Oreochromis niloticus: one gene and its partners. The protein of the gene in region 1 purifies or fractionates together with the protein of each later gene. This does not show direct contact. Links are inferred from orthologs where the notes say so. Each region holds a gene or a part of one and is shown in the gene's direction. Other genes may lie near its edges.

Evidence for each region.
Region 2: the proteins of fus (region 1) and ctr9 purify together in Homo sapiens (affinity purification with mass spectrometry; 3 studies listed by BioGRID and IntAct, with this or other methods). This does not show direct contact. The link is inferred for Oreochromis niloticus from reciprocal best matches to the Homo sapiens genes FUS and CTR9.
Region 3: the proteins of fus (region 1) and sf3a1 purify together in Homo sapiens (affinity purification with mass spectrometry; 3 studies listed by BioGRID and IntAct, with this or other methods). This does not show direct contact. The link is inferred for Oreochromis niloticus from reciprocal best matches to the Homo sapiens genes FUS and SF3A1.
Region 4: the proteins of fus (region 1) and dhx9 purify together in Homo sapiens (affinity purification with mass spectrometry; 4 studies listed by BioGRID and IntAct, with this or other methods). This does not show direct contact. The link is inferred for Oreochromis niloticus from reciprocal best matches to the Homo sapiens genes FUS and DHX9.

Annotation. Positions count from the first base shown.
Region 1 is NC_031969.2:32,751,150-32,759,234, forward strand, and holds the start of fus (RNA-binding protein FUS), read left to right. Parts: upstream 1-4,783; coding exon 4,784-4,796; intron 4,797-6,859; coding exon 6,860-6,884; intron 6,885-7,088; coding exon 7,089-7,252; intron 7,253-7,330; coding exon 7,331-7,514; intron 7,515-8,085. Other genes in the region: uncharacterized protein LOC100698127, read right to left, coding at 1-16, 780-844. UniProt on the Homo sapiens protein: DNA/RNA-binding protein that plays a role in various cellular processes such as transcription regulation, RNA splicing, RNA transport, DNA repair and damage response. Binds to ssRNA containing the consensus sequence 5'-AGGUAA-3'.
Region 2 is NC_031965.2:20,537,582-20,545,232, forward strand, and holds the start of ctr9 (RNA polymerase-associated protein CTR9 homolog), read left to right. Parts: upstream 1-4,198; 5' UTR 4,199-4,346; coding exon 4,347-4,391; intron 4,392-5,687; coding exon 5,688-5,786; intron 5,787-6,133; coding exon 6,134-6,373; intron 6,374-6,462; coding exon 6,463-6,580; intron 6,581-6,661; coding exon 6,662-6,751; intron 6,752-7,071; coding exon 7,072-7,328; intron 7,329-7,430; coding exon 7,431-7,538; intron 7,539-7,619; coding exon 7,620-7,651. Other genes in the region: uncharacterized protein mrvi1, read right to left, coding at 1-19, 1,876-2,034, 2,127-2,187, 2,268-2,332, 2,693-2,873, 2,969-3,088, 3,179-3,197. UniProt on the Homo sapiens protein: Component of the PAF1 complex (PAF1C) which has multiple functions during transcription by RNA polymerase II and is implicated in regulation of development and maintenance of embryonic stem cell pluripotency.
Region 3 is NC_031977.2:11,768,397-11,775,866, forward strand, and holds the start of sf3a1 (splicing factor 3A subunit 1), read left to right. Parts: upstream 1-4,112; 5' UTR 4,113-4,235; exon of another isoform or gene 4,236-4,254; intron 4,255-4,362; 5' UTR 4,363-4,393; coding exon 4,394-4,441; intron 4,442-5,113; coding exon 5,114-5,223; intron 5,224-5,313; coding exon 5,314-5,518; intron 5,519-5,619; coding exon 5,620-5,877; intron 5,878-5,975; coding exon 5,976-6,050; intron 6,051-6,142; coding exon 6,143-6,293; intron 6,294-6,391; coding exon 6,392-6,588; intron 6,589-6,782; coding exon 6,783-6,900; intron 6,901-6,987; coding exon 6,988-7,295; intron 7,296-7,396; coding exon 7,397-7,470. Other genes in the region: ccdc157 (coiled-coil domain-containing protein 157), read right to left, coding at 29-93, 235-374, 701-863, 962-1,138, 1,269-1,438, 1,555-1,632, 1,708-2,398, 2,505-2,655 and 1 more. UniProt on the Homo sapiens protein: Component of the 17S U2 SnRNP complex of the spliceosome, a large ribonucleoprotein complex that removes introns from transcribed pre-mRNAs.
Region 4 is NC_031982.2:34,272,849-34,280,647, reverse strand, and holds the start of dhx9 (ATP-dependent RNA helicase A), read left to right. Parts: upstream 1-4,295; 5' UTR 4,296-4,447; intron 4,448-5,240; 5' UTR 5,241-5,284; coding exon 5,285-5,395; intron 5,396-5,469; coding exon 5,470-5,610; intron 5,611-5,718; coding exon 5,719-5,827; intron 5,828-5,961; coding exon 5,962-6,128; intron 6,129-6,507; coding exon 6,508-6,656; intron 6,657-7,799. Other genes in the region: lamc2 (laminin subunit gamma-2), read right to left, coding at 331-406. UniProt on the Homo sapiens protein: Multifunctional ATP-dependent nucleic acid helicase that unwinds DNA and RNA in a 3' to 5' direction and that plays important roles in many processes, such as DNA replication, transcriptional activation, post-transcriptional RNA regulation, mRNA translation and RNA-mediated gene silencing.

The DNA of each region.
Region 1 (8,085 bases):
TAACGACAGCTTTTCACTGTGTTTGTACAGAAATCAACAGACCTGCTTCTTTGAGCATCAACAATACTTCACTGATAACACGTAAAAATTCATTCATCTACACTTAGAATGACAAAAGGTAAACATAATCACAGGTATGAACCAATCATCTAATCACAATCGCATCAATTCACACACCCTGCCACTCTGTTACACACACAGCTGTTCAACTGCTCAGTGACAAATATCTAATCAGTCAAACAAAGGGCATCAGTTTGTGTGTGTGTGTGTGTGTATGTGTGTCTCTTTTTCTTTTAAGTGCACATTTAACTTCCTGTTTTCTTAAAAAGTCAAACTCAACAGGCCCAACAAAACAGAAAGATGCTTCATCCAGAACCAGGAAACAAAAGGTCAAATATCCAAAAGTAAAACAGTAAAAGACTAAAACAATAAAAGTCTTGGGGAGAGGGAACAGTGAAAACAGACGGGAAAGAAGGGAGGAATACACAAGGAAACGATAAAGAATAAACCGAAACGTAACCCTAAACCTGAAACGCATCTCTGGAAAGATCACACAGTAAAAACAGGAAGCAAAGATGGCGTCACAAGAACTAAGAAACAGGACGATAAAGAAGTAAGAAACAAGAATAAAAACTCGGAACAACAGAATGACTCAAGTCCAAGTTCCCAGACCGCTGACCGAGACACGACCACGGCAACCCCGACAAACAAACAGGAAACAAACTGCCTGTTTCTTCCTGTTGACAGTAAACATGCAGCAACATCACAAGTGTGGTCACCTCAGCACAGTCACCACACAGGACGCTCTCTGATACAGAAAACTGAAGGAGATGTGCTCGATCATTACAGCAGGAATCACACCTGCTCTGTAGTTACTTACCAGTGATGATGAAGCTTGTTTCTGTGGAAACATGTTGCCACGGTGATGAAAACAGACGGGTTTACTTTTACAGTTTCTCTCAGGAAAGTGATCCTCAAGTGCAGGCCTGCCTTTTACTCCTGGACTGTTAGATGGAAACTAAATAAAATATATTTACTGTATTTTCATAATAAAAAATTTCACTGATGAAACTGAATGTAGTTTATTTGCTCTCACAGGTCTGCCACTATCCAAATAAAGGCACTTGGTCCTTTACCCATGCATGTTCAATGCAGTGATGGCCGCTTTTATGGATTCTTCTTTCGCAGTGAGATCTAAAGGACAGAGAAACACCCCAAACAATTCTCAAACTAGGTTTGTCATTACTGTTTTTGCCGTCATCATAAATTCACTGACTTTCCTTCTGAAGAAAATGAAAAAAGTGATTAAAAATTATTTTTATTATTGTTGTTATTAAAATGATACTGTTTTACTACTATTACTATTAACCCTCTACTGCATAGCGTTGCCCTGAGGCAACAAACCACATTTTCATGCCTTACACTGGCCCTTCAAAAAAAACCAACTTTTTTTTTTCAAATAATGCTACCAGGCACATCTCTTTCCAATAAAATGATGAGTTGAAGGTGGTGTGACTTATATTTGGGGGGGGGGGGCAGGACCCCTTTCTGCAAGCTGCAGTACATGAGAGACATCTCCATTCGGAGACAAGATAAAGATCACTATTTTACATGTTTATAGTGAAATAAATGTATATTAAAAAAATACTTGTATGTGCATGAATATGTTAAGAAGCATATTTGATTGTTTTTTCTACTTTTTAAAATTTATTTATATAGTAAAACTGTTAATTTTCATTCGTTGCCTCAAGGCAACACTGCGCAGTTAGCCCAATTTTTTTCAGGCAATATAGTGCATTTGCATATGTGTGTAGAGATGTGTTTGTGTGCATTTATATGATCATAGTCAATGCTTTTTACTTTACAATCTACCCATAATTACAGGACATGGATGTAAATACCTTTTATGCAAGGAAACCAAGGGAATGTGCACTTTCTGTCCTCAGAAAGTGAGGACAGAGAGCTTTCAGGGAGTGACAGTGAAGTAGAGGAGTATGAGGTTTGAGGGACACTTAGGAGCTCAGGGGTCAGGGGTCAGTTGGTAAAGTAACTGTGTCTGTGTGTGTGTTAGTGCCCACATAGCAAGCAGGTCTGGCCAGGATCTGGTATCAAGTTGGCACTTTGAGTAATCTGGGAGAGTAGAAAAGCGCTATATAAAAATCAGTCCATTCACTGTCTGAACAGTTTCGGCATGTTACTTTTGCACTGTTTTGCATGTTCCGGCACATGTTGTTATTGCATGGCTTGATTAATATACTACTATTTTGTGTTATAAGAAATCACATTTCAGAAACACGTTGAGATGATGCATCATTTTTGCTATTACTGTCATAAATTCAAACATTGAAGGATTAGACATAAATAACCACAAATTAATAATAAGTCAGCTTGCCGATGATACAACAATCTTTCTAAAAAATAAAGAACAAATTCCATTGGCCTTAGATACAATAAAGATCTTTTCTGATGCTTCTGGACTACGCCTGAACCTGGACAAATGTGAACTCATGAGTATCCACAATTGTTCTCACTCTTCTTTGTACAATATACGTGTCAAAAATGAAATCAAATATCTTGGAATTTGGCTAACTAAATGCATGGCTGATAGCGAAGAAAAGAATATTCAGAATACAACTGACAAATGCAAAAAAACCCCTAAACCATTGGCTACAGAGAGATTTAACTTTGGTCGGCAGGATAATGTTGACCAAGGTTGAATCTTTGTCCAGATTAATCTATCCAGTTTATTCCCTAGCCATCCCACCAAGGATTATAAAAGACATCAATAAGCTGAATTTTAATTTCATATGGAAAAATAAACATCATTATATCAGTAACAGGGACTTGATAAAAGACTATGAAGAGGGGGGTTTAAAAGCAATCGATTTTGAAATAATGAATGGCATCTTAAAGATTAATTGGCTCCGATCTTTTTTAAAAAATGATAATGAGATCTGGTTTTTGATACCATCTCATATTTTCAACAAAGCTGAGGGGATCCAATTCCTTTTAGTATGTGATTTTGAAATTTCTAAACTGCCCATAAAACTCTCCAAATTTCATCAACAAGTTTTGTTAAATTGGAAATTAATGTTTAAACATAACTTTAGTCCCCACAACGTTCCATTGTGGAATAATAGGGTGATATTGAATCGGGGGAAATCTATGTTTGTGGAAGAATGACAAAACAAATTTGGTCTGTGACATATATAATGGATGAAAATGGAGATACACTTGAATTAAACAGGTTTAATGAGAAATATGACATGAGTTGCTCGTTCGAGCTGTACAAAAAGGTTTCACAGAATATCCCAATAGTCCTAGTCAATACGATAAAGAACAATTTTTCAAATATACCGACTCCAAATTTACATAAAATTAAATTAGATGGTCTTGACTTGGTTAATGAAAAATGCAATAATCAGTTTCTGAGGAGGTATTTGGTTAACATCTTATATCCAGGTAGGACAAAACATACACTCATCTTTAACGTAGCTTGCTATCACCAGTGTGTGAATGTGTGTGTGAATGGGTGAATGACTGGATATGTAAAGCGCTTTGGGGTCCTTAGGGACTAGAAGGCGCTATATAAATACAGGCCATTTACCATTTTAAAGATTATAACAAATCTGAGATCTCGTTGATCAGAACCAAATATTTAAAATTTCCAATTCCCCCCAAATTTAAAGAAGTCCATTTTAGAACTACAAAAAACTATTTACCCCTCCAATGAATTTATGAGAGACAGATTTAAATTTGTGTTAGACAACTGTTATATTTGTAAAACAACTTCGGAAACAACAGAGCACATGTTTTATGGGTGTGTGACAATCCAGAACTTATGGAAATCCCTCCATGTCCTGATATTGTCCCAGTATGGAAATATTGATTTTTGGTCTTTTCAAAATATTCAAATTGGAGTAATCCTTAAGGACAAAAATAGTGAGTTTTTAGTTAACAATCTCATTATTATAACAAAGTATTACATTCATAAATGCTGATATGCTAAATCCCCCCCTTCATGGGCTGCTCTTAAAAACGAACTCTCCCTGTTCCGTAAATCTCTGAAGCTAATAAATAAGCCCCAAGCAATCAAATTGCATAGATTTTTAGAAGAGTTTGATTTTTCTTAGCCCCTTATTTAAGTTATGTGTCTTGTTTATGGAACCTCACTTTTAGAGATTTTATGATCCCCCTTGTCTCCTTTATTTCTGTTCCTTGTTTTTCATTTTTTTTTATTCTTTTTTATTGTTATTTATTTATTTATTTAATTTTTGTATTGGTTATTCATTTTTATTATATTATTATTATTATTATTATTATGTAGACGTGTGTGTATAAATGTGTGTGTTTGCATATGTATGTATGTATGTTTACTTTCAGTCATTGTCGATTTCATTGATTTCATTGTGGTGTACCAACTGCACTGTGGCAATGATGTGTATTCCTCTGATTGGGAGAAAAGAAAACGGAGGTGCGATTCTGTTCTGAATGATTCAATATGTCGCTTGTCTCTTTGAGCTTGTCATTGTTATTGTTCTAAATAAAGTTCATTTAAAAAAAAAAGAAAAAAAAAGCTGATGCACCATTTCCCACCCGATATAAAACTAAACAGCATCGATACTGCTGCGCTCCCCCTGGCGGCCGGCGGAGGAACAGCAGCTGAAGACGGCAGCGCTAGTGGGTCGAGCTTCGTGTCGATTCGTCCTCTTCTTCGGTTTAATCATCCAACGACCCGCTGTTTGACCGAGAGAAAGGCTGAAGCGGCGCTGTCTCCGTGTAAATGGCGTCTAACGGTAAGAGAAACTGGTAAATCTGTCCGGTGTCTGGGCGTCGGAAGCGGTTAGCTAAAGATAGCATCACCTTCACCTGCCGGTGAACAGAGGACAGCTAGCGGCTAGCTGAAGTTTAAATGGCTCTCTGGGGGCGTGGCGTCCATCCTCACATTTAATTCATGCAGGCCTTACGCCACCGTTTGTCCGGCTGCAGGACGCCTCACCGCCTAGCTTAGGTTAACTGAGTAATACCGGTGCCTGCTCCGGTCCGGTCCGGTTAGCTCGCCGTTAGCCCGGTTTTGCTGCTGACCCAGTTTCTGGTGGCTCACTGCGGTCTCGAGCAGGGAAACCGCTCCCCTTTGCCGATCCGCTGCTTTAACCTCTGGCCTCGGTTTATTAAAAGCACATCAGAGCGGAGACCGAGCAAAAACCAGCTCACCTACCTACACCGGACATCCAACTCAACACAAAATAATGAAAGACATTTCCTTATTCATTTTTTGGCATCTGTGGGCTGGATTATTAATACTGTGAGGTAAAGAGCCTGCGACAACACAGAACAGTCACATGGCTCCCTGTGAGGAAAGGTCCTGTTAACAAGAAGAACCCTGCGTTACAACCAGGATCAGGGAGGGGCAGCCATCTGCCTGATGGGGCTGAGGGCAGGGAGCAGCAGGCTGGGTGTTTGAACTGGAGGGTAACCGACTTTAACAGGGAGGACTTTGCTATTCCAGAAAAACACAAAACAGAATAAATAAACAGGTGTACATATTTCCAAACATATAGGCACAGGACACTCAAAGTTTAGAGTTATAAAAGTGCGACTGTATCTGTGTTTGATTGGATCACTGAACTCACAACACACACACTAGGGTACAATATCCTCGTCACTTTTCCATTTGTGTTGCCATTTTCATGCAGGGTCATGTTTTAAAGCTCACTGCACACACAGATGAGACACAGAGATACTTCTGACCTGCACAGGAAGCTCTAAACTGCTGTAAACCGAATCATTAAACTGAGCTGCACTGCAGTAGCTTATCAGTGATAAGGGTGTTTATGTTTTTCACGGGGCGATCGTGGCTCAAAAGTTGGGAGTTCGCCTTGTAATCGGAAGGTTGCTGGTTCGAGCCCCGGTTCTGACAGTCTCGGTTGTTGTGTCCTTGGGCAAGACACTTCACCCGTTGCCGTTACTGGTGGTGGCCAGAGGGCCCGGTGGCGCCAGTGTTCGGCAGCCTCGCCTCTGTCAGTGCGCCCCAGGGTGGCTGTGGCTACAACGTAGCTTGCCATCACCAGTGTGTGATGTGCGTGAATGGGTGGATGACTGGATGTGTAAAGCGCTATACAAATACAGGCCATTTACCATTATCATGTGATTTAGTGTAACTTACGGCTGACGTGTGTCATTAGGATACAGCTGCACAGTGACTTGACTGGGCGGCTCAGGACCCTCAAGGCTCGTCCATAACACCGAGCTGGGGGTAAGAGAGCAGAGATGAATAATAACAAATGATAAAATGCAGAGTGGTGTGAATGAAGAAGAAATGCGTCATGGGAAGCCTGTCGGTTCAGGGTCCCCCGATCCAGTCCTAACTACGTCAAAAAACAAAAGTTTTAAGCATAATCTTAAAAGTAAGATTTCAGACAGATCTGACAAATTTGAATTCAGTGGATTTGGTGTCTGATGTGGTGTTTAATGTATTCATAAATAGTTTCACAGTGTTGGAAATCTGAAACACTTTAAATCCGTCTGTTTTTGTTAATTATGTTCGGTTTGGACAGATCTCCCGGACATGGATTAAATCTACTCCCAGACTGAAAGAGAATAAGTTTTAGTGCATGTCATGAAAACTGAGCCTAAGTATTGCTGTTTTTCATTTCTGGATGATAAAAAGCTGGCCTTCTTAAAAAGGGCTTTTACAGATAGAATATAGTTTATTAATTTAATAATTACCATTAAAATCTGTCTTATATAGTTACTGTTGAGTTTGAGTTTTATAGATTATGTCTGACACTGTTTGGATGTTTGATTGCTATCATTAAAATTATCTTCAATATTAACCCTCTCTGCTTTTTCTCCTCAGATTATTCCCAAACACCTAGCCAGGGGTGAGTTATGTAAATCATGTCTTTATTCATTCATGAAGGTTTCTGTCATTATTAATACTCGTCCAGAAAAATACATTTAGATTCTGAATTTGGGTTAAAACAAGAAAAGTAAGTCCTTGCATTTAACCGTGGAAATAATTTTGTTTTGTAAGTGAATGATAAAAAGTAGATTTGAAATGGTGTATTCTTGGTTGGTGTGTGCAGCTATCCATCCTATGGTGGAGGTGGCGGTGCTAGCCAGGGCTACGGTCAGTCGTCTGGCCCGGGTTACGGCCAGCAGGGCTACGGAGGCTACAACCAGAGCGCGGACAGCAGCTCCAGCTCCTACAATCAGGGAGGCTATAGCGGCTACGGCCATCCTCAGTCAGGTAGAGGAAGCCCCAGCGTCCGCCCAAATCCACAGTCACTGTTTTCCAGTCACCTCTGAATCAGTTTCCTTTTCCCAGGTGGATACGGGTCTCCATCCTCCAACCAGGGCGGTGGCGGTGGTGGGTATGGTCACTCAAGTCAGTCCTACAGCTCCGGAGGCTATAACAGCAGCAACCAGCCGTCCAGCATGAACTACAGCCAGCAGTCGTCATTCTCCGGGTACAGCCAGCAGCAGCAGCCTCCTCCTCCATCCTCTGCAGGGTACGCTCACGTTCACCTCGCCTTTAATTCACTGATTTCAGCCCCGTCTCCACAGGGGTAGTGTTTAGGAGCAACCACAAACCTCACTGACGTTACCTGCGGAAGTTTGGACTGGACTTCATTTTCATTTATATTTTGTTCCATGAGGACATGCAGACAGCATGTGTGAGAGAGGAGGATGCTGGGATAGCAGGAGATGGAGGCAGGTCGACTACTTTAGCGAACCTTCATAGAAGCAGTCAAAAAAAAAATAATTTAAAGGCCGCATTTGTCTTTAGTTTTAAATAATTTTGGAGTGCAGTTAGTTTTTGTTGTTTGATGGTGGTCAGAACACAGCTCCTGTAATAAAAATCAAATGTTCATACTGGTCCCCAGTATAAAGTACAACATAAGCCGAGCTCAGTCTCAGTAATTCAGTACTTATCTCTATGATACTAATCCTAATAAAGCAGGTGCTCTGTTTTTCATTATATTATAGGTCAGCCTAGAGGCTGAACTAGTTTAAATCCAGCCTCAAACATTCAGAAAATAAAACTTTAAAAAAGGCGACCATGCTTGATGCTCAACAGCC
Region 2 (7,651 bases), on another chromosome or scaffold:
CACTGCTGACCTCTGAGCACTGCACACGACAAACAAACCAAGACAAACAAATTACAAGGTAATTACATGACCGACTACATGAAAAAAGATACTGACAAGAACAGACCAAATAATTAATAAACTAATAAATGTATGTCTATGAGACGATTCCTTAAGTAAAAGTTTGAAAGGCCTATTTGTGCCATTTGGAGTAAGTAACTGATGTTTATTCTGTATTTTTTAAGAAATGGGCTTGTTATATATGTGTGGTGGGTGGAATGATTGTGCAGCATACATTTCTTATGGCTTTAAATTTTTAAGAAAAAAGAATTGGATTTTGAATTTTTTTAAATTTTATTTTGAATTTTCTCAAATCCACACGACGTCTCATTAGTGATCACGATTGACTACAACTGGTAGTTTCTCTTTATCAGCATAAAAAGGGTTTGTTTTACAGCACTCATTGGGCTGACCAATACTCAGAACAATGGTTAAAATCCAAATAACTTGGTGAAAATTTCTTGGAGCTATTTCTTAACAATTCAACCACTTTGCCGAGGTCTGGAAGAAGACCCAAACTGTCACCCTCAGATGAGAGGAAATTGGTTGGGATGTTCAGGAACAACCCAGGGACCATCAAGACTCAAGCCTGCAGTGAACTGGAAATAGCGGGAACACAAGCATCACTGTCCACAGTAAACCTAATTTTAATCAGCATGGACTGAGAGGGTGTCGACCAAGAAACAAGGCCCTGCTTCAGAATCAACACCTTCAAGCACAACTAAAATTTGCAGCTGCTCACATGGACAAGCCAAATGTCTTTGGAAAAGTTTTATGGTCAAATGAGACAAATATTGCACTATTTGGTCACAATAAAAAAGGTATGTTTGGAGGAAAGGTGAGGCTTTCAAACTTCACAGCACTGCAGCAACTATCTTGCATGGTGGTGGTAGCGTCATGCTCTGGGGCTGTTTTGCTGCCAGTGGTGCTGATAGTGGAAAGTGGATTAAATGATGAAGAAGGAGGACTACCTATAAACTCTTCAACTTCACCTCAAATCAACAGCTACAAGGTTGAAACTTGGACAGAGTTCGGTGTTCAAACAGGACAGTGATCCCAAACAGACATCAATACTGCTTTTGGAATGGATAAAACAGGCTAACATTAAGCTTCTGGTCTTCCGAAAGCGATGACCTCAAACCTATTGAAAATTTATGACTACACTCCAAAATGAAATCAGTCATTTTAAATTAACTCCAGCAGTTCTGCCAAGAAGAAGTCAAATCTCCATCCAGAATTTTATCAGAAGCTTGTTGACGGCTACCAAAAGAGTCTGGCAAGTCACCTTCACTTCATCCCTTCCACCAATTTAAATTAACTCTGCCCATTCTGCCAAGAAGAATAGTCAAATATCCTGCCAGAAGCTTGTTGATGCTTATTAAAAGAGTCATTTGAGGTGAAACTTGCTAAGGGACGCTTAACCAAATATTAATGGCGGTGTATGTACATGTATTTAGAGCCTGTATATATTATTTTGCCCCTGTATGGATTCGAGAAAGTCTAAAGAAATTAAAGATGCATGCTGTACAATCATTTCACCCTGAAGAAAAACAGTACAGAGAATAAAATATATGTGTTGTCCAAACCAGAGTGCACCTATATCAAATATGTGCAGTCTATAATGACTGCTATTGGTATTTCTGCTCGTTTTTAGTCATTAGACGTTTATTACATTGTTACCGATCACAGTTTGTCACTTTAGAAGTGCACATACATGATATGATATAGTTTACTTGAATAATAAAACAATCTGCTTTTGCTGGAAGTTATTACAGTAGTGTAATCTTACATGCTAGGACTGCAGTTAACTGTGGAAGAAATGAGTTTATCCTTCACCTGATGAGCTTTGCTCGCAGCTCAGTGATCTCCAGAGTGAGCTGCAGGTTCGTGTCTTCACATTGAGCAACAGTCCTCAGCAGACTACTGTTCTGCTCACTCAGTTTGCGGTTGGCATGCTTCAGTTCAGCCACTGTACCTGACAGGTCTTTTCCATCGCTGAAGCCAAAGAAATGGTTACTAATGTGTAAAATCAAACTGGTTAGGGAGGTAAACATAAACAATGGTTAAACTAGAAAAAAATATCCAACCAGAAACACCGCTGGCCTTCTGATGACGTCTCTTCGCTTTGACAAAATGACAAACCCAGCCCTGAAAGGAAATGAGGAGTAATGAATTGTTTCATATTTAATAAACTGAGTCTCAAAACAGAATAAAACCTGGAAACATACCATTTGCATTTACAGGCTCTTCAGATGTGTTTGGCCGAGGTACATGGCTGCTGTCCTCATCAGTACTGTAACACAGGAAAACTGAGTGATATCACAGCTGATTAATAAAATGTTTAATTGATAGAAAAGTAGGCAATACATTTAACTGGACATGCCCTGCTATGTTTGTAAAAAAGATAAAATGTGATGGACATTGTAGCAGACCATCTTCACTTCATCCCTTCATATTTAAATTATTCTTCCTCTTGCTTTAAATGACTACATGCAAAAGTAATTATTTAAAGTGGAGCTAACTTTAAAAAAAGTCAAAATAAAAATATATTGTTAGGAACTTTAATCTATAGTAACAAAATATTTAATTAGATATGAAGTTTATAGATGTTATGTAAAGGTTGCAGGTCCCTTGTGTACAGTTTCAGTCTCACCTGTCCTCGCTGCACTGGGTGATCCACGCCCTCATGGTGGAGTGAAACGTCTCTCTGCTCACATGTGGGTCCTGACAGTCAGGGTCGAGCAGCCGTTGCAGGGCAGCCAGTCTGTCCTGCCCTGGGCTCTGAGCAGTCATGGTGTGCAGGTACTCGAAAATGGTGGAGGCTAACACTTCTCCTGAAGGCAAGAGGGGAAAAGGAGGAAATGAAAAAGACGTCACACCATTACTGCACCGTTTTTTTGTCTAAATGAAATTCGGTCCATCTGTATACCTGACTTGCTGCTATTACACGTATCATACACGATGTCAAGGAGTTCATGTTCAGAGAATCCGCTTGTATCTTTGCTGTCCTCAAACACATCGTTCATCCCACAGCCAGATGTCTCCCACACTTTACATGTAAAGAGCCAAATGTTAGAAAACGAAATGAATATGCTGTATACTTGTTTGATACTAATACTGGATAAATTGAAACACTCACCATTATTGCCGTCAGACATTGTATTTGTTTCTCCTGAAGCCACAGAGAGCAACTATGCTGGACAGTCATGTCCCTGCATGACCTGAAATTTAAATAAACAAATGCATTTTAAACTCTGTGCATTGTGTCTGGAGGCTAAAACTAACAGACTAATATCATAAAATTGAACATAAATTGGAATTAAGTATTATCCTTGATGCAAATTGGAACATAGATTATTTTTAGAAACTAAATGTAACCAGTCTTCATAAAAATGAGTTAAAAAAAATGCAGGTTTTCAGACAGTACAGTTGTGTTAAAGAACTTTCACATGAACCAAATTTCCACCTCTGAAGATTCCTGCAGGGAAGACAATTCATATGGTTTACAGTCAGACTGGAAGACACATATGTTTTTGGTCTTATCTCACATAGCCTTTAAACATTTATTTTTAAACAGAAACAAGTCAGAAAAAAATCTTACTTTTCAGTCCGGACAGGTTTTCTGCAAAGAAAATTTTTCAGTAAGAAGCATCACCTTATTGTTTGTCTTCTACTCTTTAATACTGAAATACTGTGAAGTCTTCAAGGTGCTTCTTTGGTTTTCAGTACTCACATCAAAACCAGCTGACATCCCCTCAGCCTCCCTCCCTTCACCCTCATCCACACCCTCCTCCCACTGCTTGCCAAAATGCAGCTCTGGAGAGGTTTGTGACAATGATGCACACCGTAAATTTAAATTGGAAGTCACACGTTTAACACATCAAATGCACAGTCTCCCGTTTGAATTCAGCAAATGTAGGAAGTAAAATCCCACTACCTTCCAGTGTCAGTGTGTGTGTGTTGCAGATTATTCCCAATAAAACGCTATTGTTTTATTGTATTGTAAGTGATGGCTCTCCCATTGTTAACTAAATTCAGTTTGTAAGCAAGCTGATACGATGTCCCGTCTTTTTTGTGGCAGTTTCTCTTTGAGTTATAGCAATAACTGTATTGTTTTCTACAGTCATTGAGTTATAGTGTTTATGGTTTCTGCCCGGACATAATTTCAGTTGCGCCATCCGTGTGTTTCGGAAGCATGAAGTAGCTACCAGCAGACAACGGGTGGAAGAAATTGTATTTTTATTTTTATTTTTACAATTTTTTTTTAGATAAATCTAACTTCGAGTGGTTTTGGTTATTCTTTCAAGATGTCTCGAGGCTCTATCGAGATCCCTTTACGGGACACAGATGAGGTAAATCCTTCCGTGAACCTGTTTTCACTAAGAGGATCTAGCTGTGCTGTTAGCCGTTTAAGCTAACTGCGGCTAGCCTGAGCTGATATTATGTGTCTGCTTACACAGTGGCATTGTAACGAAAACGTGGTGTATTTGTTTGCAATCTGGAGTTTAAACATAGTGAAATTTTGATGCTTGTCAGCTGTTCAACTCCTTAAATATGCGTTCAGGCGCCTGTGCAAAGCTTACTTATCGCGATGTTTTGTCGTCGCCGCTCTCAGTGATGCAGTAAACATTAAATTCTACTGAGGTGTTTTCTACTTAATTTAAGAGCCTAATATGCGTTGTGGTATTTCAACACATCACCGAATTTGTGACAGATGTGTTTTAGTTGCAGGCAGTCGGTTGCATTAGTGTTTAGGCTGCGTTAGGAGTGGACAAAATATTAGAAACATATGCCAGGAATAGTCCCTTATGAAGACTTTTACATTGAATTGTTTTTAAAATTGGTGAAACAAGCATTGATCAGTATAACCAACAAATTTATTGAACCTTGTAAGCATTCGCAGCAGCTGAGTTTTCTATTAAACTGTATAGGTCAGGTGAAATCTACCTAACAAACTGTCGCTGAAGAATTAAATGCAAAATGTTTGTTTTGTTAAATACATTTTATTAAAATAGAAAATATGCAAGAGAGAAGATGGAAACCATTTTTTAAAGTAAAAATATAAGTACACACTTAATGTAAAATTAAAATCAAATATTCCAAAGTTAAAGCAACACTATGTACAGTACAGAGTTATAAAGTCTGATGGCCACAGGGAGGCATGGTTATCAGTCTCTGGGTTCTGTGCATAGAGGATGACACTGGCCACCACAGACTCGTAAAAGATCGGGAGCATCATCCCGTAAGTATTAAAGTTCCTCAGACATTGCTCATTAGACAGTAAAGACAAATTTGATTCTCCTTGTAGAGGACTTCTGTGTTTTTAATCAGTGTAAACACCGAGGTATTTGTATTCCCCCATCGTCTCCACACAGACCCCATGGATGGAAATGGGGGTCGCTGGAGTTCTCGGCCTATTCATGCCGTCTTTGCCACATTAACATGCAGATGGTTTTCTTGCAGCACGTAACAAAGTTTCCAGTTTCTAATTCATAACACTCTGAAGTGATACATGTGTCAGGATTTGCACTACTATTACAATAAAATAATATAATGCACATATAATCTGCATAGATATGTCTTTCCACTGGCAACACCATGCATGCTGAGGTACTTACTGTAATAACATACATATTTGTGTTTTCCAGGTCATCGAGCTCGACTTCGACCAACTTCCTGAAGGAGATGAGGTCATCAGTATCTTGAAGCAGGAGCACACGCAGCTGCACATTTGGATTGCTCTGGCGGTGAGTCGATACATCAGCCTTAGACTTTGTGGTTTTTGTTCTGCAAATAATAATTAGGCTCTCTTTTCAGTTTATCCCAAACATCAATGTGACAGCTCACAGTATTTTATTTTCTCAGCCCAAAATAGAAATGTAGATGCGACAGAGAAGCAAAATCGCACATTTGAGAACCAGAAAATTTCAATAAGTGACCTTAAAATAAACAGTACATTTCTTGTCGATCAGGTAGTTGTTAGATTGAGATTAAGTACTGCACTAACTGATGTGTGTCTAGATGTTAATTTGATGAAACAAACAATGTGAAATTCCAATCGAGTGTGACAGTTTTCTTTCTATTTCTTCTTAAGTTGGAGTACTACAAACAGGGCAAAACAGAGGACTTTGTAAAGCTTTTAGAGGCAGCACGTATTGATGGAAACCTCGACTACAGAGACCACGAAAAAGACCAGATGACCTGTCTGGACACACTGGCAGCTTACTATGTCCAGCAAGCACGTAAAGAGAAAAACAAAGATGCCAAGAAGGAGCTCATCACACAGGCTACGCTCCTGTATACTATGGCAGACAAGATCATCATGTATGATCAGGTAGGAAAAAAAGTCTATCATAGCAGGTGATAAATGAGCTTATTTTTCTTGCATTTTGAGTAAATCGAACCTGCTGTTGTCTCAATCAGAACCATTTGTTGGGAAGAGCCTGTTTCTGCCTGCTGGAAGGAGACAAGATGGACCAGGCTGATGCTCAGTTCCACTTTGTCCTCAACCAGTCCACCAATAACATCCCTGCTTTGCTTGGTAACGTGAACATGAAACAGTGTAGGATTGAAATGGACTACATTGATTGACTGAAGTAATAACAATGTTGTTGTTAAACAGGTAAGGCTTGCATCTCCTTCAATAAAAAGGATTACAGAGGAGCGCTGGCGTACTACAAAAAGGCTCTGCGTACAAACCCCGGCTGCCCAGGTAAACCAATAACATGTAATGTCTTTAAACACTCCCCGCATGCCTGTATTTCATTTATTATTGTTGTTATTATCATCATCAATATTATGATGAAAATATTATTGTTGCAGCAGCAACAAGAGACAGTATGTTCATGTTTTATGTGGCAAAGATATGTAGGTGATGAGCCACTTCATTGTTAACTTAAACATAAATACAATTTATGAACAGAAGATCCTTGATTTTAAAAACACAGGACCACAGATAATATATTTGCCCTTCACTCATATTGGTTATAAAATCAATGTTCCCAACTTGTTTTTTGTCTTGTTTTTGTGTAGCTGAGGTGAGGCTGGGGATGGGCCACTGTTTCGTCAAGCTCAACAAACTGGAGAAGGCTCGTTTGGCTTTCGGTCGAGCCCTGGAGCTTAACTCAAAGTGTGTGGGAGCGCTCGTTGGTTTGGCTGTTTTAGAGCTCAACAACAAAGAGGCAGACTCCATCAAGAACGGAGTGCAGCTTCTTTCGCGGGCCTACACCATCGACCCCAGCAACCCCATGGTACTCAACCACCTCGCCAACCACTTCTTCTTCAAAAAGGTAATCACGGCTGTGTTGTTGAAATGCGGTGAAAATATAAGTTCTAGCATTTCGCTGTTATTAACTGTTCTTCGTGCCTATGTGCTTTCTGCTTCCTCTCAGGACTACAGTAAAGTGCAGCATCTCGCTCTGCACGCTTTCCACAACACAGAAGTTGAGGCCATGCAGGCTGAGAGCTGCTATCAGTTAGCTCGCTCATTTCACGTGCAGGTACGATCCCAACCAGCCATGTGCAAGTTTGTTATTGTTTACTGAGGTCGCCATTCATATCTGTCCTTCCTTCTTCCACAGGAGGACTACGACCAAGCGTTTCAGTATTATTA
Region 3 (7,470 bases), on another chromosome or scaffold:
AGACTAATCTAAAGAGCAGAATACTTACGCTGGATGTTTTTCTGTTGGTGTGTTGGGCAGAGAAGCAGTCCATGTCTGCTGAGTGGAGGCTTCCTGTTAAAAATGCATATATATAATGTTCAGCAAATAACAACCACAAAACCCTGTTTGAAGTTGTTTATTCATCCATGATATACGTCTATTCATGCATTTTTTATTTATGCAGCATCACAAGAATCCTACCTAATGACTTACCCTGCTTGCATTATGTTGTGCTCTTTCTCCCAGTTTCTCCAGACTTCTAAGAAGGGTGGAATTTTCCTGCTCCAAAACCTTTATACGAATGCTATTTGCTTGCAGTTGCTGCTGCATATCCAGAAGCACATTTCCTGTACCTTTTTACATGGAATAAAATTAGAAATAGTCATTAACTCTACATGATTATCATACTCAAAAAAACCCCAAGAAACTAAGAAAAAAATGACAAGATTGAAGACAAGAGTAATACTTTAATGTGCACGGATTTTTCTGATTTACTGTCTCTTCCATCTGTAAGTGCACAGGGTCATTCTTGTGATCTTATAATTCCAAGTTTGTCAAACTAGCACTCTGTGCTTTCCAAAGTATTAATAGCTGCAGTCGACTAGTGCTTGACAGGTGCAAAGCCACATCTATTTGCATACACGCAGGTAATGTTAGTAGGTAGTTCATAACGGCCTACTCTGTGGTTGAGCCAGTGGGCTGAGCTCTGGGAAAGCCACCAACAGCCTCTCCCTCTCTCTCAAAGCTTGCACATATTCCTTCAACTCATCCACGAAGTTTTTTAGCTCATCTGTGTGTGTTTGTAGGGTCTGTTTCTCATTTTGGAGCTTCGAACACAGGTCCTGATGGGGAAAAAATATAGCAGAATATACTACTACATTAAAACATGTCTTCTTTGGGTATTATTATGGGTAAAGTGCATTTTAGAGCTCTGATCTACCTGCTGTTGAGTGAGCTGAGCTCGCAGTTCTTCCTTCTCCTCTGACATCTGTTGCAGCTGACTCTGTAGGCCGATCTGCCTCTCCTCTCTCTCCCCCAGCTGCCTCTGTAGCTCTTCACACTCTTCGTCGAGAGCGTCGACTCTCTCTAACAAAGACTTCTGCTTTGCCTGCACTGACTGGATTACACAACCAAACAACACCTGTATGAATCTATTTGAGTACTGCTGTGTGACTCACACATAAGCGAGTCTGTCACAGTGCCCAGTGGAAAACAACAAATAATCAGGTGCTTGCTGTGATGCTGACCTCTTGCTGACGGCAGGCACTCTGGTACTTGGCTTTCTCCTTATCAAGAAGGAGCTGAGTGTCGGAGATCTGACTCTCTAACTGCTGGATCCTGTGCTGCAGTTTAGAACAGGCCTCTTCCTCTATTTGTAAGGTGTTCAGACTCTCCTGCAGTCCTTTCTTTTCATGTTCTAACACAAAAACAAATTTCTTAGCCAGCATAAATATTTATTTTGCTCTGCAAAACATTATTTCTTTTTTTAAAATGAAAGAAAGGTTGTAGATTAATCTTAGGTGCATGTCTTACCAAGTGCTTGTAAGGTATTTTGCTGCAATGCTATTTCCTCCTTTAGTTTGAAATTCATCTCTTCCAAGGACATAGTGTCTGTGTTCAAAAATGTGAAAGTACTAAAAGTGATCTCAGTGAATTCTCATCATGTTTATTCACAATTTCACTCACCCCTCTTATGTTGCTGTTGCTCCTCATGTAGCCTTTTCTCTGTTTCTTTATTGACTCTCTGTGCTTTCTGCAGCGAAAACTCAAGCTGGACTGAATTTATTTGAAGCTTTTCCTTCTCTTGGTTGAACTCTTTTTGTGCTCTTTCCAGCTGGGACCTGAGTCTTTTCTGTTCCTCTTCTGCCGCTGCTAGTCTGTCTTTAAGAGGCTGCACTGTACAGCGCACATCTTGAAGGTGTTTTTCCAGCCTGCGCGTGTCCCTGCGCTGTTCATTGGCCCACTGGGAAACATCACCTGCTGTCATGCGTCCCACCTCCAGAGAGTCATCCACAGCTGCTAAGAGAGGCTGCAGAGATGAGGGCAAGCCCTCGCTCTGAAGCAGGTCTGCCAGAGCGTCTCCTGTCTTTCTCAAAAGAGTTTGCACTTGATGACACGCATCACATGGAATGAGCAATGATTCGACAGTCTGGCAGCTTTTGTTTTGACTGCTAACCACGGGAGAGCATGGACTGCTGTGGGTGGGACTGGAGGATGCGAGATTCTGTGGGGAAATTTCAAATGTGCTCGTTGAAGACCAAGCAGACAAGCAACGCCTGCAAAAGTCGGTCCTTGAGCTCATTTGAGGTGAGACAGGTGATGCAGTGTTTGTCTCATCACTGTTTCTTTTCATCTGCCTTTTACTGAGTTCAGTCTCCTAAAAAAGGAAAGACAGCATAAAGCACTGAGATCTATCAGTTAACTGGCAACATTATGCCATTATTTTTAATTATGTCTTCACTAAAATGAAGCAGTCTGCCTACCTTTATGGTGGCAAATTGAACTAAATTACTCCAGTAGTTTGTGACTACCAGACCAACTGACAGGCATCCTTTCTGTGGCGTTTGTTCTCTCCTGTGGCTGCCCCTCAGTCGGTCAATGTAAGCACTGGAGCTTTGCACAAGAAGCAGCAGTCTTGTTCAGCCAGAGAGGGAGGGAAAGAAAATTTTGTAACGCTTATTATGTGTTTATGTAATGTAATGTCAATTTTTGCTGATTATTTCTTTTGTCAGTTTCAAGTTATTTCAGTGATTAGTGTCAGTTTTTCCTCCTTCAACAGAAGGGTACCAATGATTTTGTTCATGTCTATTCATCCCACAGCAGCATTATAAAGTTCACAGATGATACCGCAATCATTAGGCTGATCACTGATGGCATATAGAAAACAAAATGGCAGGACTGGTGGCTTGGTGTCAGCAAAATAATCTCTTCCTAAGTGCAGATAAGACCGACAACTCTTGATTTTTTTATGTGAAGAGGAGGATAAAGCAGCATACACACAATAGACATCCGTGAGACAGGTAGAGAGGGTGAAAACCTTTAAATTCCAAGGGACACACATTAGGGAAGATCTCACAACATCCAGAAGTTTCTCAAGAAATCACAGTAAAGACTGTACTTCCTAAGATGGCTGAGGAAGTCTGGCATGTCGACTAAAATCCTCAGCATTTTTTTTTTTACAACTCAACATACAGTTGAGAGCATCATCATCACCTCAGTTACAGAGTGGTATTGGAAGCTGCACTGACAGGAAGGATCTCCAACGTGGGATAAAAACTGCACAGTACATCACAGGAGCAGCCTTCACATCACTACACGGCATTTGCACGACCAGGTTCGTCACAAGGGCTCACAACATTTTTAGAGACAATACACACCCACCACCTCTCCACACTTTTGCCCTCAGGTAGATTCTACAGGCGACTGAAATCAAGCACTAATACTCTCTCAAATAGCTTCTAGCTGTTGGCCATCGGACTCCTGAATGAGACAATCAGCACTGCCCCTCTCCCACACCATCACTACTGTTGGCTGTTACTGTACTATCAGTATCTGCTACTGCACTAATTTGTACAGGTCTGTTTGCAAACATCCACAAGGCATGGGCACAACAGGGAAACTGGCAAAATAAGAATTTCATTGTACAGTGTAAACCGCGATTTTCTTTCACTGTGCATATAATAAAAATAACAATATTAAAACATCTAACATTTTTATGTTTCTTAATTTTCTGTGTTAGGCACATTGAGTTTTCATGTAAATGTGCTATACAATAAAATTGTCATTGTTATGTATTACCTGTCAACCACCAACTCCAGTAAAACAATGTGGGAGTGCTGATTGAACGCATCTTCCCCATCCACAAAGTCATACTGCTCTAGCAGAGCTACCATGTCTAGATTACAGGAGTGCTTGTCCGGGAACTTCCAGGAAGAAAAGCGGAGCGGTCCGGTTCGAGAAAACACGTCCAGAATCGCTCCCTGAAGGTCAACCAGGTCTTTTCGGAGGCTTTCGATACAGTCCTGACTACCCAGCAACTGACTCATGTCTGACAAACTATTTTATAAATGACACAGCTCTGAAAAACACTGTGCAGTCTGTTGATACCGCATCTCCTTGGCAACATCCAAAAAAAGTACTCCAAGTTCCACAATGCTGTGCGGGTTATTTCCGGAAGTAATTCATCTCCATTGGGTCAACGAAAGCGCGACGTAGTAAGTGTGTTTAACCACGGTAAATTTTAAGCTTTTAGCTCCTGTAGCCTTTATTGTTGACATAGCATTTGCTAAAAAGGATTGTTTAAAATACATATTTTTTTTCTTGTTGGTTTTGTGTTTGCAGGTAACTTCCAGTTTTACAATAAGTCGCAGCCATGCCGCCTGGGCCTGTTCAAATCGTTCAGCCGGAGGCTAACAACAAGGTAAGGGTACCGCTGCTAGTTAGCTAATGCCAGCAGTGCAGCCTACATACTGCTTGCTTTTTTTCGGCTAACTTGTGAACTGGGTTAATTTTTGTCTTTCTACACTTTGAACTGTCTCTGTGATTTTTGAATTTAGCGAACAGGTAGCGTCTATCTTTTTTTTCTTTCGCTAAACGTTTGAGGTCGCAGCATTAAACCTTGCTAGCCCGTAGTTACCTTTGATGGTAAATCTACACACAGCGTCTAAAATCTCAGTTTGAACCTGAAGGTAATAGCTGAGACTTTGCTGTCACTTCAGTACAACGGCAAGTTACTTGCTAAATTGAAAACAGATCTTTGAATCAATGTGTTTTGTACAGAACCACACTTTTTCACGCAGAAAATTCACCGACCTACTTTCATCAGAGCACTTGGTAGTTTTTACCGTATATTTCATTAGTCTCCTGTGTGGACTAGTACAGCGAAATATAAAGTTTTTCAAAATGTTGTCTATGCTTTGAGTGTTATAAATTGTAGTAGAGCAGGGGAAATATTACTTGGTGTAGTTGGAAAAGATTTAAAATCGGGTGGATGTTAAGTGGTCCACTCTCTTTTTTGAACCTTATTCTTTTATTTATCCATCTAACCCTTCTTTGGTTTATTCTAACTAACAAATGTGCTTTTGTGAAACAGAATGATTCAACAGCAGAAGAAACCCCAGCCACAAAACCTATTGTTGGTATCATTTATCCACCTCCCGAGGTCCGAAACATTGTTGACAAGACAGCCAGCTTTGTTGCAAGGTTGGTTATTTTATATGTGGCAGCATTTTAAATATGTAAAGGTAACCGGATTTCATGTATATGGCATAACTAATTCTTGCCAATTCACAGGAACGGGCCTGAATTTGAAGCAAGAATTCGTCAGAACGAGATCAACAATCCAAAGTTTAACTTTCTCAACCCGAATGACCCCTACCATGCCTACTATCGCCACAAAGTCAATGAATTTAAGGAGGGGAAAGCTCAAGAGCCATCTGCAGCAGTGCCCAAAGTTATGCAGCAGGCTATGCAACAGTCCCAGCAGCTTCCTCAGAAAGTAAGTCATTGAACTTCACTTTGCACTTTATTTTATTTTTTTAATTACAAAATAAAACTGGTAGTCTTTGACCCTGACTAATATTTTACATTTTTCTTTAGGTTCAGTCACAGGTAATTCAGGAGACAGTGGTCCCCAAAGAACCTCCCCCCGAGTTTGAGTTCATTGCAGATCCTCCATCAATCTCAGCATTTGACCTGGATGTTGTGAAGCTCACTGCCCAGTTTGTTGCTCGCAATGGCCGCCAGTTTCTCACTCAGCTCATGCAGAAGGAACAGAGGAACTACCAGTTTGACTTTTTGCGACCACAGCACAGCCTTTTCAATTACTTCACCAAGCTGGTGGAGCAGTATACTAAGGTGACTTAACAGATTGGGCTTCTCTGGGTGTGTATTTATTCAAGTGGTGATTCTAAACTTTCTAAGCATTATCTTGATTCTTACCTTTAATCCTTTAGATTCTGATCCCTCCCAAAGGCTTACTGACCAAACTCAAGAAGGAAGCCGAGAACCCAAAAGAGGTTATGGACCAGGTATTCCGTTTTAACAGTGACTGCTTCTCAAAATAGCCGTTTACATTTGCTCTTTCCCATGTTTGTAATATGTCCTGTTGTCCAACCATCAGGTAAGGTACCGTGTTGAATGGGCAAAGTACCAGGAGCGCGAGAGGAAGAAGGAGGAGGAGGAAAGGGAGAAGGAACGAGTAGCATATGCCCAAATCGACTGGCATGACTTTGTAGTGGTCGAAACGGTGGACTTCCAACCTAATGAACAAGGTAATTATAACCACAGTAACTATATCTTTGAATAGTAACCCCCACCTTTAAATATTGGTACAATCATTTAATCTTTATTGGCATCTCAACTTCCTTAGGCCACTTCCCACCACCTACCACACCAGAGGAGCTCGGCGCTCGCATCCTGATCCAGGAGCGCTATGAGAAGTTTGGAGAGAGTGAGGAGGTTGAGATGGAAGTGGAGAGCGAGGGTGAAGATGATGAGCGGGAGGATAGGGGTGAAGGCCAGCCTTCACAGCCTGATCAAGACACACAAGTGCAGGACATGGATGAGGTTAGAATGGATGGAGTAATTAATTACTGCGGATTGTAAGCTGTTCGTGTCTGACCAGTTATAGATTTGATACTATATGTTTTTCTTTTAATTAAATGACATCTTTTCTAACCCACTGCTTGGAGAAAGAAAAAGAAGAAGAAAACTTTAAGATCTTGTAACAAAATCGATTCATCCCCTGCTGCTTTCTTTAGGGATCTGATGATGATGATGATGGCATGAAGGCTCCACTGCCACCAGACACCCCCATGCCACCTCCACTGCCTCCAACTCCAGATCAGGTTATCATTCGCAAAGACTACGACCCCAAAGGTAACACTGTTCGTTATGTGAGCAAGTTTTTACTTTGTACAACGTGTTTGTTTTTGTTTTTTAACTAATGTTACCTTTTCATAACAGCATCCAAGCCTCAGCCCTCAGTTGCAGTTCCAGACGAGTACCTCATCTCTCCCATTACCGGTGAGAAGATCCCGGCCAGTAAGATGCAAGAGCACATGCGTATCGGTCTGCTGGATCCACGCTGGCTGGAGCAAAGAGACCGCAGCATCAGAGACAGACAGACTGAGGATGAAGTTTATGCTCCTGGTTTGGATATCGAGAGCAGCTTGAAACAGCTGGCTGAGAGGCGTACTGATATCTTCGGTGTGGAAGAGACGGCCATCGGTAAAAAGATTGGAGAAGAAGAAATCCAAAAGCCAGAGGAGAAGGTAAAAACACTGAGTAACTGCAGTTTTTATAAAACTGTGTTTAACAATAACAACGATAGTAGTAATAATAATAATACTAATTGTATTCTTTTGCATTTCAGGTTACCTGGGATGGCCACTCTGGAAGCATGGCTCGTACACAGCAGGCAGCACAGGCCAACATCACCCTGCAAGA
Region 4 (7,799 bases), on another chromosome or scaffold:
GCAATAAATACTGTATTACCTCTGAAATCAATAGTTAATGGTTATTGTTATTATATAATGAGGAACATATATTAACTTATGGAGGATCAATACGTCGTTTTTTAACTTTCCATCTTACCAACCTATATTTGTTGTCTTGATTTCATAACGTTGTAGTTTATGTATATATATTTTTGTCCTGGCTGAGCTCTGCCTCTCCTAAACGTTACCACAGTTATTAGCAGGCTGAGCTCAGGTATGTTGGTTAGAGTTTACAGAAGAGACCTAAAGGATGTTAATGTCTTTCAGCATCTTGCTGATAGCAGTAAAAGAAGAAGTCGAGCCACTTACAGTAGTATCTGTAGGTCGCCTGGACGGCGCAGACAGCAAACAGAAGCCCGCAGAGTGAAATCCATCCGTTCCTCATGTTGTGTGAATCCTGAAATCAGATCCGAAAGCTGCAGCTGATGGAAAAACTCCTGCACAGCTCCTCAGAGTGATTCCTTTTAACTCCTCTCCTGCTGCAGGTCCGTACACGCTGCACGTACAGGCCACACTTATTCACGTGTGATTCACAAAACACACACCGTCAGTCAGAGGATATGACGGCTGCAGCGTGTGTGTGTGTGTGTGTGTGTGTGTGTGTGTGTGTGTGTGTGTGTGTGTGTGTGTTGTAACACTGTGAGCCGTTGTCCTGGAGCTTCATATTTACATTTTTACAACACAAAGACGTCTCACAGGACGGAGAATGAAAAATCAGATTTCTGTGAATGAAGTGATTCTGCGCTCTGTTCCAGATGTGGAAAACATGACAGATGTTTCCTGAACATGAAGTCTGCATGCAGCTGCTGAGAGTTCAGATTAAACCAGGCACCATAAAAATAAAAATTTTATACTTCAAATGTCATCACAAGGGCAGGCGGGCGTGGCCGAATGAACCTGCAGGACGCTGGGACTGAATCAACTGCTAAAAGTAACAAATGAAGAAACAAAAACATTAAGTTACAATATTTTTAATTTTATTATTTTTATTAACAAACAAAGAACTCTGACTCAGCATGCGGACGCTGCAACAGTGCAGAAGCTGACCATTTACAGCAACAGTCATGTCAGAGGGTTTTACAATCTAATGTGCGGACCTCATAGAAAACACAAAGCCCTGCGACCGACCTGTCCAGGTGTGCCCCGCCTCAGCCTACTGCAGCTGGGATGGACCCTGACTGGCATAAGAAGAAGAAAATAGACAGCTGGTGTCCCCCACGGCTCAGTTTTAGGCCCAGTTTATCTTTAGTCTCTTATCAGTTTTTATTGATTTTACCAGTCAGCAATATTCCTATTATCATTACATTTAACACTGCATTATTACATAGATCCTATTGTTACTATTATTAGTAGTAGTAGTAACCTTTTTAAAAACTTTTATTATTAAGGTTTCATATTTTGGTTGATTCGTTTCTGGACTTTCTTTCATTAAAGGATCATTTATGAATTTTGACCTTTAGTTTCTGAACTTAAAATAAATCGTTCCATTGTGGTTGGATTAATGCTCGTTTTACCAGCTTACAGAAATCACTTCCTGTATGCACTACTAATGCACTCTGGTAAGTATGTTCATAATACCCATAGGATTGATTTTAAAATAACTGTACTTACATATAGAACACTGAGTGTCCTGAGCTCTGATTGGTAGTTACTCAGTCACTCACCTGTAAGTTGAGAAAACTTTTAACAGCAGTTATTTTGACTGTAGCTGCTTGAACTCATCAAATGTCACTGACTTTATGCGGTCTCTGGTCTCCACATCACTGTGAGTGTGGACACAGTGTAACTGTGCATTATTACACTCACACAGTGTCTCTTATCTATCTCGTTGTGCAGTTACTCTGTGAAAAGCATTTTATAAATACATTTTTCTTACTTTGCCTCCTTGAGAAAACCTGTTTAAGCACGAGGAAAACATTCAAACCACTGAGCTGTTGTGCTGCCAGTTATTAAAAATCACAACCTAAATGCGAGCCTGGCCTCACAAAAACGTGACATGTTGGTTTTTAAATCAAGACTGTAAAATTGTGAGATTCCAAACCTTTTATGGACTTTTTCTCTGACCTCCAACCAAAGCAGTAATAAAGCATTTGCTTAATTTGGGTTTATCTTAACCCTAACACAACCCTTTTCTAAATCACCTGGGTGCTGGGTGAAGGTGGGTTGCTGAGTGGCTTGCAGATTAACAGCAACAATGGGCAGAAAAAAGCAGCTCAAACTGTTCATATACTGTTCATACAGTTCATATAGAGCTCAAGCTGTATATGAACTGTACCAATGTGAGGTTCCTATATCTCAACAGAGCGTGAGATAAAATTATAAAATGGTCAAAAGTCATGTCTCTCTACTTAATGTAATAAATATATGTTATAAATAAAGTTTGTAACATCTCTTTATTACTAAAATATGTTTTTACCTCAGCTAGTTAAATCATTGTGATCAGTTAGTTAAAGGACTAGTTGGGATTATATAAGGAATTTGAATATTTTTAATAAAACTTAACAAAGCTTACGTTAAAGTTTAGCATAACTTAAATGTGATAATTCATCTTAAACCATGTGGAAAGCTTACATAAAGCACATAAAAATATGTATAAAATTAAATCAATATGATATATATAAGATATCACATTAAAGAAAATCTTAGTACTAATATTAAATAAGTATGTTTAAAACAGTAAATATTAAAATATGAGGTCATCTATCAAAGTTGTGGAATATAATCAAGATTTTTATATGAGGAAAAATGATTTTTGTTCTTTCCTTTTAATTAAACTGTTTACTGTAGTTATTATCACTGTGGTGCGTTCAGGGAGATATAAAAGGTTGAGGATGTGCTCGGGGTTAGGGTTTTATTCAAGGTGCAAAAACATCCAAAGACAGCCACAGACGTTTATTTTCAGTCCCCACAGATGAAAGCACATTTCACCTCCTGCTGAGTTTGGAGCTAAACACAGTGTTTTGTGTTGTGGAGCCCTGATTCTCGCCTGCAGGCACATTTTCTCCTCCTCCTCCTGCTCAGGTAGTTTCCATGTGTAAGATGTGTCCTGAGGCTGCAGGTGAGCCAGCAGACACACCCTGAGCCTCAGACACACACTTACTCACACACACACACACACCCTGCCTGCTTACACACAGAGTCACACCCAGTCTGTCCGTGTTGCTGTGCCAACACACCTTAACGCGCGCACACACACACACACACACACACACACACACACACACACATTTAGTTTATTGAGTCATAATAAAGCTTCATTGTAGATTTTATCGCCAAGTTTGTGAAGAAATTGCAAAACTTTCTGGACCGAGTTTGATTTCAGCGCTTGTTAAAAAATCAAGACAAGAATCTGAACTTAGTTAAAGAATCTCCTGGTTTAAAGAAAATACTCTGACCTTTTACCGATTTTTAACAAACTGAATCTCACTGAAAATAAAATATTATTATTATAAACTGTTAAGTCTCTTGTGTTGGAACAAATTAATCATCAGATGTGATCACGCAGTTTGTTGCTTTGCTGTTTGTAAATGCAGAAAGTTTGACTGTGCTGAACCAAATGACTCAGTTTTGTCTTTACGATGTGAAAATACTCTTTTAGATTCCTCTTTTTCTGCCTCAGATGCCCTAAATGAAATCAAGTTCCCACTGAAAATCCATTCGTTTCCTTAAAAACACTTTAAGAGATGCAGGCAGGGCTGTTAGATGATTTTCTACTATTGTTTTCACATGATCTATAAATCTTATTGAGCTCGGTCCTTCAGGTGCTTCAGGTTAAATATCTGGTGCCTTCAGGAGGGGAGCTCAGGTTAACACAGACTGATGAATGTTTCATTTGTCTGTCTGTCATATACAAGAAACATCACCTTCTTTAAAACACTCCAGATCAGCTGGTTTCACAGGAGTTAATGCCTGAATACAAAAAAAATATCAATTCAATATTATATTTTATCCATTCTGTTCTATTTTTTGTTCTGTTCTGTTCTTTTATTCTGTTCTGTTCTTTTATACTTTTCTAATACTTATACTAAATATAAACTAAAGGTTTATAAAACTGGCCTGGCTTTATTACTTTCACTGTAACTGGCATTTATAACTATGAGGCTCAAATCTGTTTCGCTGGTGTAAAGATGACTGACCTCTGTACCAAAGTGTTCATGAAAAGAGAAACATGGAGCACAGCTTTCATGTATTCTCTCCACTGTGTTAGAACAATAAAGGCTAAAAATATTTAGTAAAAGAAGAAGAAGAAGAAACAGAACTTGGTGGAGGACGATTCTCCCTCCGGCCTGAGGGGGCGCTGATGCACCGGGAGTTTATTTATTTTTTAACCGAAAGTGAAGTGCAGCCGGAGGAAGCCAAGGCTGCTAGGCTACCGGTGCTTAGCTGCTGAAGTCTGGAGCAGCTTTTGCATTTTTCTGACCTGACTGTAAGTACAAATACTTCGGGTTATTTATACCTGCATTTCTTCTTAATTTAATCATATTTTTAATGCGACGCGATGTGAGTGGCAGTTCCGGTGATCAGTAGCTAGCAGGGAGCTAACATTAGCCTGCAGTCACGCATTGATTCGGTTAATTTCAGACATTTATGTGAAACTAATTTTTATCTAAATTGTACTGAAAGTTTCAAGATAAGTGACTTAAATTCGTGATTATAAGCCATAAATGTAATTTTACGCTTTGAGGCTAATGTTAAATGCTAGCCAAACATTAGAGAGTTGAATCTGATGATGATAAAAGTCCACAGTAAAAACAACCCGCTGTGCTAATGACGCTGTTATCGTTTGTATCCCGAATCACCGCAGACAGCGGGATTTATCCTAGCAGTGGACAGTAAATGCATCCATGAAGACTGGGTTTGAGTTACTTCATTCAATTTCCGTATTAGATTTATGTTGAGTAAAGTGACTCTGATCCATACAGCCATGTTTACATAAGTGAGTCACTATCAAAGACCCGTTTGGGTTCAGGCAAGACCAAAGTTCATCTTAAAAGGTGGTAAGCAGACAGCAGCAAGGCTTCTACCAGAGTTTGGCCAGTTAATTATTTCAGTAATTTCTTAGATGTGATATTATCATTTCTCAGTTCAGCAAACCGACTTTTTTTGGCAATATTTACTGACTTTCATCCCTCTGTGACTCCAAACCAAATGATGTTCACAGTAAATGCCAGATCTAAGCTAAATATCGAGGAGTTTGACAGCAGTTTATTGTTTCTCAGATTAACGGGTTCACGGAATAGGAGGACCCTCCTGTCAGTCCACCATGGCGGACATCAAGAACTTCCTGTACGCCTGGTGTGGGAAAAAGAAGCTGACTCCAAACTACGACATCCGAGCAGCGGGCAACAAAAACAGGCAGAAGTTTATGTGTGAGGTGAGCGTTCGGTCTGACGTCAGGGGGTTTAACTCTGGGAGGTTTTTGTTAACCTTACACCGTACTCCCTGCAGGTCCGAGTCGATGGCTTCAACTACATTGGGATGGGAAACTCCACCAATAAGAAGGACGCGCAGACCAACGCCGCCCGCGACTTTGTCAACTATCTGGTCCGAATAGGAGAGATGAACGCAGCAGAGGTCCCGGCCATCGGGGTCAGGAAGCTGTTCCTGTTTTTCCTTCTTTTTTTCTGTAGAGATAAAAAACGATCATTTCTCTCACTTTGTCTCTTTTAAATGAACAAGTACGTTTTCTGCCATCAGGTGAGCACGCCCATCGCAGATCAACCTGATGCAGCTGGAGATGCTGGCTTTGGAAACCTCCCTTCTAGCGGTCCTCTACCACCTCACCTGGTAGTGAAAGCTGAGCAAGGTAACGGTAGCATGGTGGCTTTAACGACTCCAAACATCACAAGTTCTTACTTTAATGTGGTGAGTCGAGTCGGATTAAACGGGTTCAGATATTCAGCTGGTTTCTTTCTGCTTCTCCTTCTTTATTGTTCTCAGGGGACGGCAGCGTCAGTGGGCCGGTTCCAGGAGTGACCGGACTGGGTTATGCAGGAGGAGGAAACTCCGGTTGGGGCAGAGGAGGAAGTGACGGAGGAGCTCAGTGGGACCGAGGAGCCAACCTGAAGGAGTATTACGCCAAGAGAGACGAACAGGAAGCACAGGCGGTACAAGATAATTCCAAATTACAGTGCAGTGAAAAGCATTGGTAATGTTAACATTAAGCTCCTTAACAGGAAGTAAGCTGCTCCTAAGTTACAGTCGTCCCCCTAAAGCTCAAATCTGAACCAGAACCTTGGACAGATTTACTAAACTTGGAACAACCAGCCAAGTTTACACTACAGGAACTGCTGTTTCACTCCGAGGACTCTGCTTTCATGAAGGAAACTGGCACTCGGGGAATACTTTTTTTTTTTTTTTTAAACTTCGGCCATTAATAATATGCAGATGCATCATTAGAACCAGAATAAGTTCCCTTTTTTTTAATCTTCAGGTTTGATTTCTCTCCCTCGCTAAACAAACTCCCGCCTGTTGTTTTGTTTGCAGACTCTGGAGTCGGAGGAAGTGGATCTGAACGCTAACCTTCACGGAAACTGGACTCTGGAGAACGCCAAGGCCCGTCTGAACCAGTTCTTCCAGAAGGAGAAAACCAGTGCTGAGTATAAATACAGCCAAGTGGGACCGGACCACAACAGGTCTGGAATCTCAGAGGTTTTTAAACCGGCTGGAAATTCTAAACCAGATCCAGTCTGAGGGGTCACAGCTGGAACCAAAACAAACACTGTGATTTTAATGAGCTTCAGCTGCTTGATAATTCTCTTTAGCTGGAGAAAAATCAGAAGTATTTTCTAAAAGCAACTGTGATTTTGACCAAAGGATTTGATTTCTCAATTTTCAGTGAATTGACTGAATCTCTGCTGGAAGTATTTTGTTTCCCTTCAGTTTGGATTTGGTTTGGAGTTCACTGCCGGCCTTTGGCCACAGACCTGTTTTATTTTGCATGTTCAGACATTAAGTTTATGATTGTACTGATACTGCAGAGCCAGCGCTGCTTATTTTAGTCATTCAGCTCAGAGATAAAGGCAAAGATTGACCCAGCCCTGTCCCCAAAGAGCCGCTCAGCAACCAAACTGGGGAAACACGAACTAATCATAATTTTGCCCTGAGCCACACCAAAGCTTTACAACAGCTTTAGTTGTTTTCTTAGTAAAGATGGGGATGATTGGACTTACCATGGCGTTTCTTCAGCGTTGTGGGAGGAGTCAGAGTCAGAGATGGTGGCATCTCTGTAACTTTGTCAGTGCTCGCAAAATCGCTAGCCTGACGTCCCGGGGCAGCGATTTTTCCAGTCGGGCTACCAAAATCTATCTCAGCCCTGCCCGTCGGGCTATCATAGGAAGGAAAAATATGTGTCAATGCTTTTGCATTCTTTCACAAATGTAGCTGAGTAATTATGTCATTGGCATCGGGGAGCCACTGTCAATATGTGACATATTGAAATCGCGTTTGAATTTGTGCTTGTTTTTTGCTTTCACTTTGCGATCGCGCGAACTGTGTGTAGAGAGCGGCAGCACTGATTGGTGAGTGACGATTAATTGCGCACCAATTCCTCTGACATTGTCTTATCACTCATTAGCTACTATTCAAACCTGACAAGTGAAATCTCCCACAGCAAGCTTAAACGTGAGAGGTTGATGGCGCAGAGAGTCGCTGACCGTTATGTAAGTACGTGTGTAAAAGCAGCAGGATATATATTTTAGCTCTGCTGAGCCAAATAAGACAAGTCAGGGTGAAGAAGGGGCAGCCAAAGAAAAGCCGACCACAAAACGGAAAAGTTA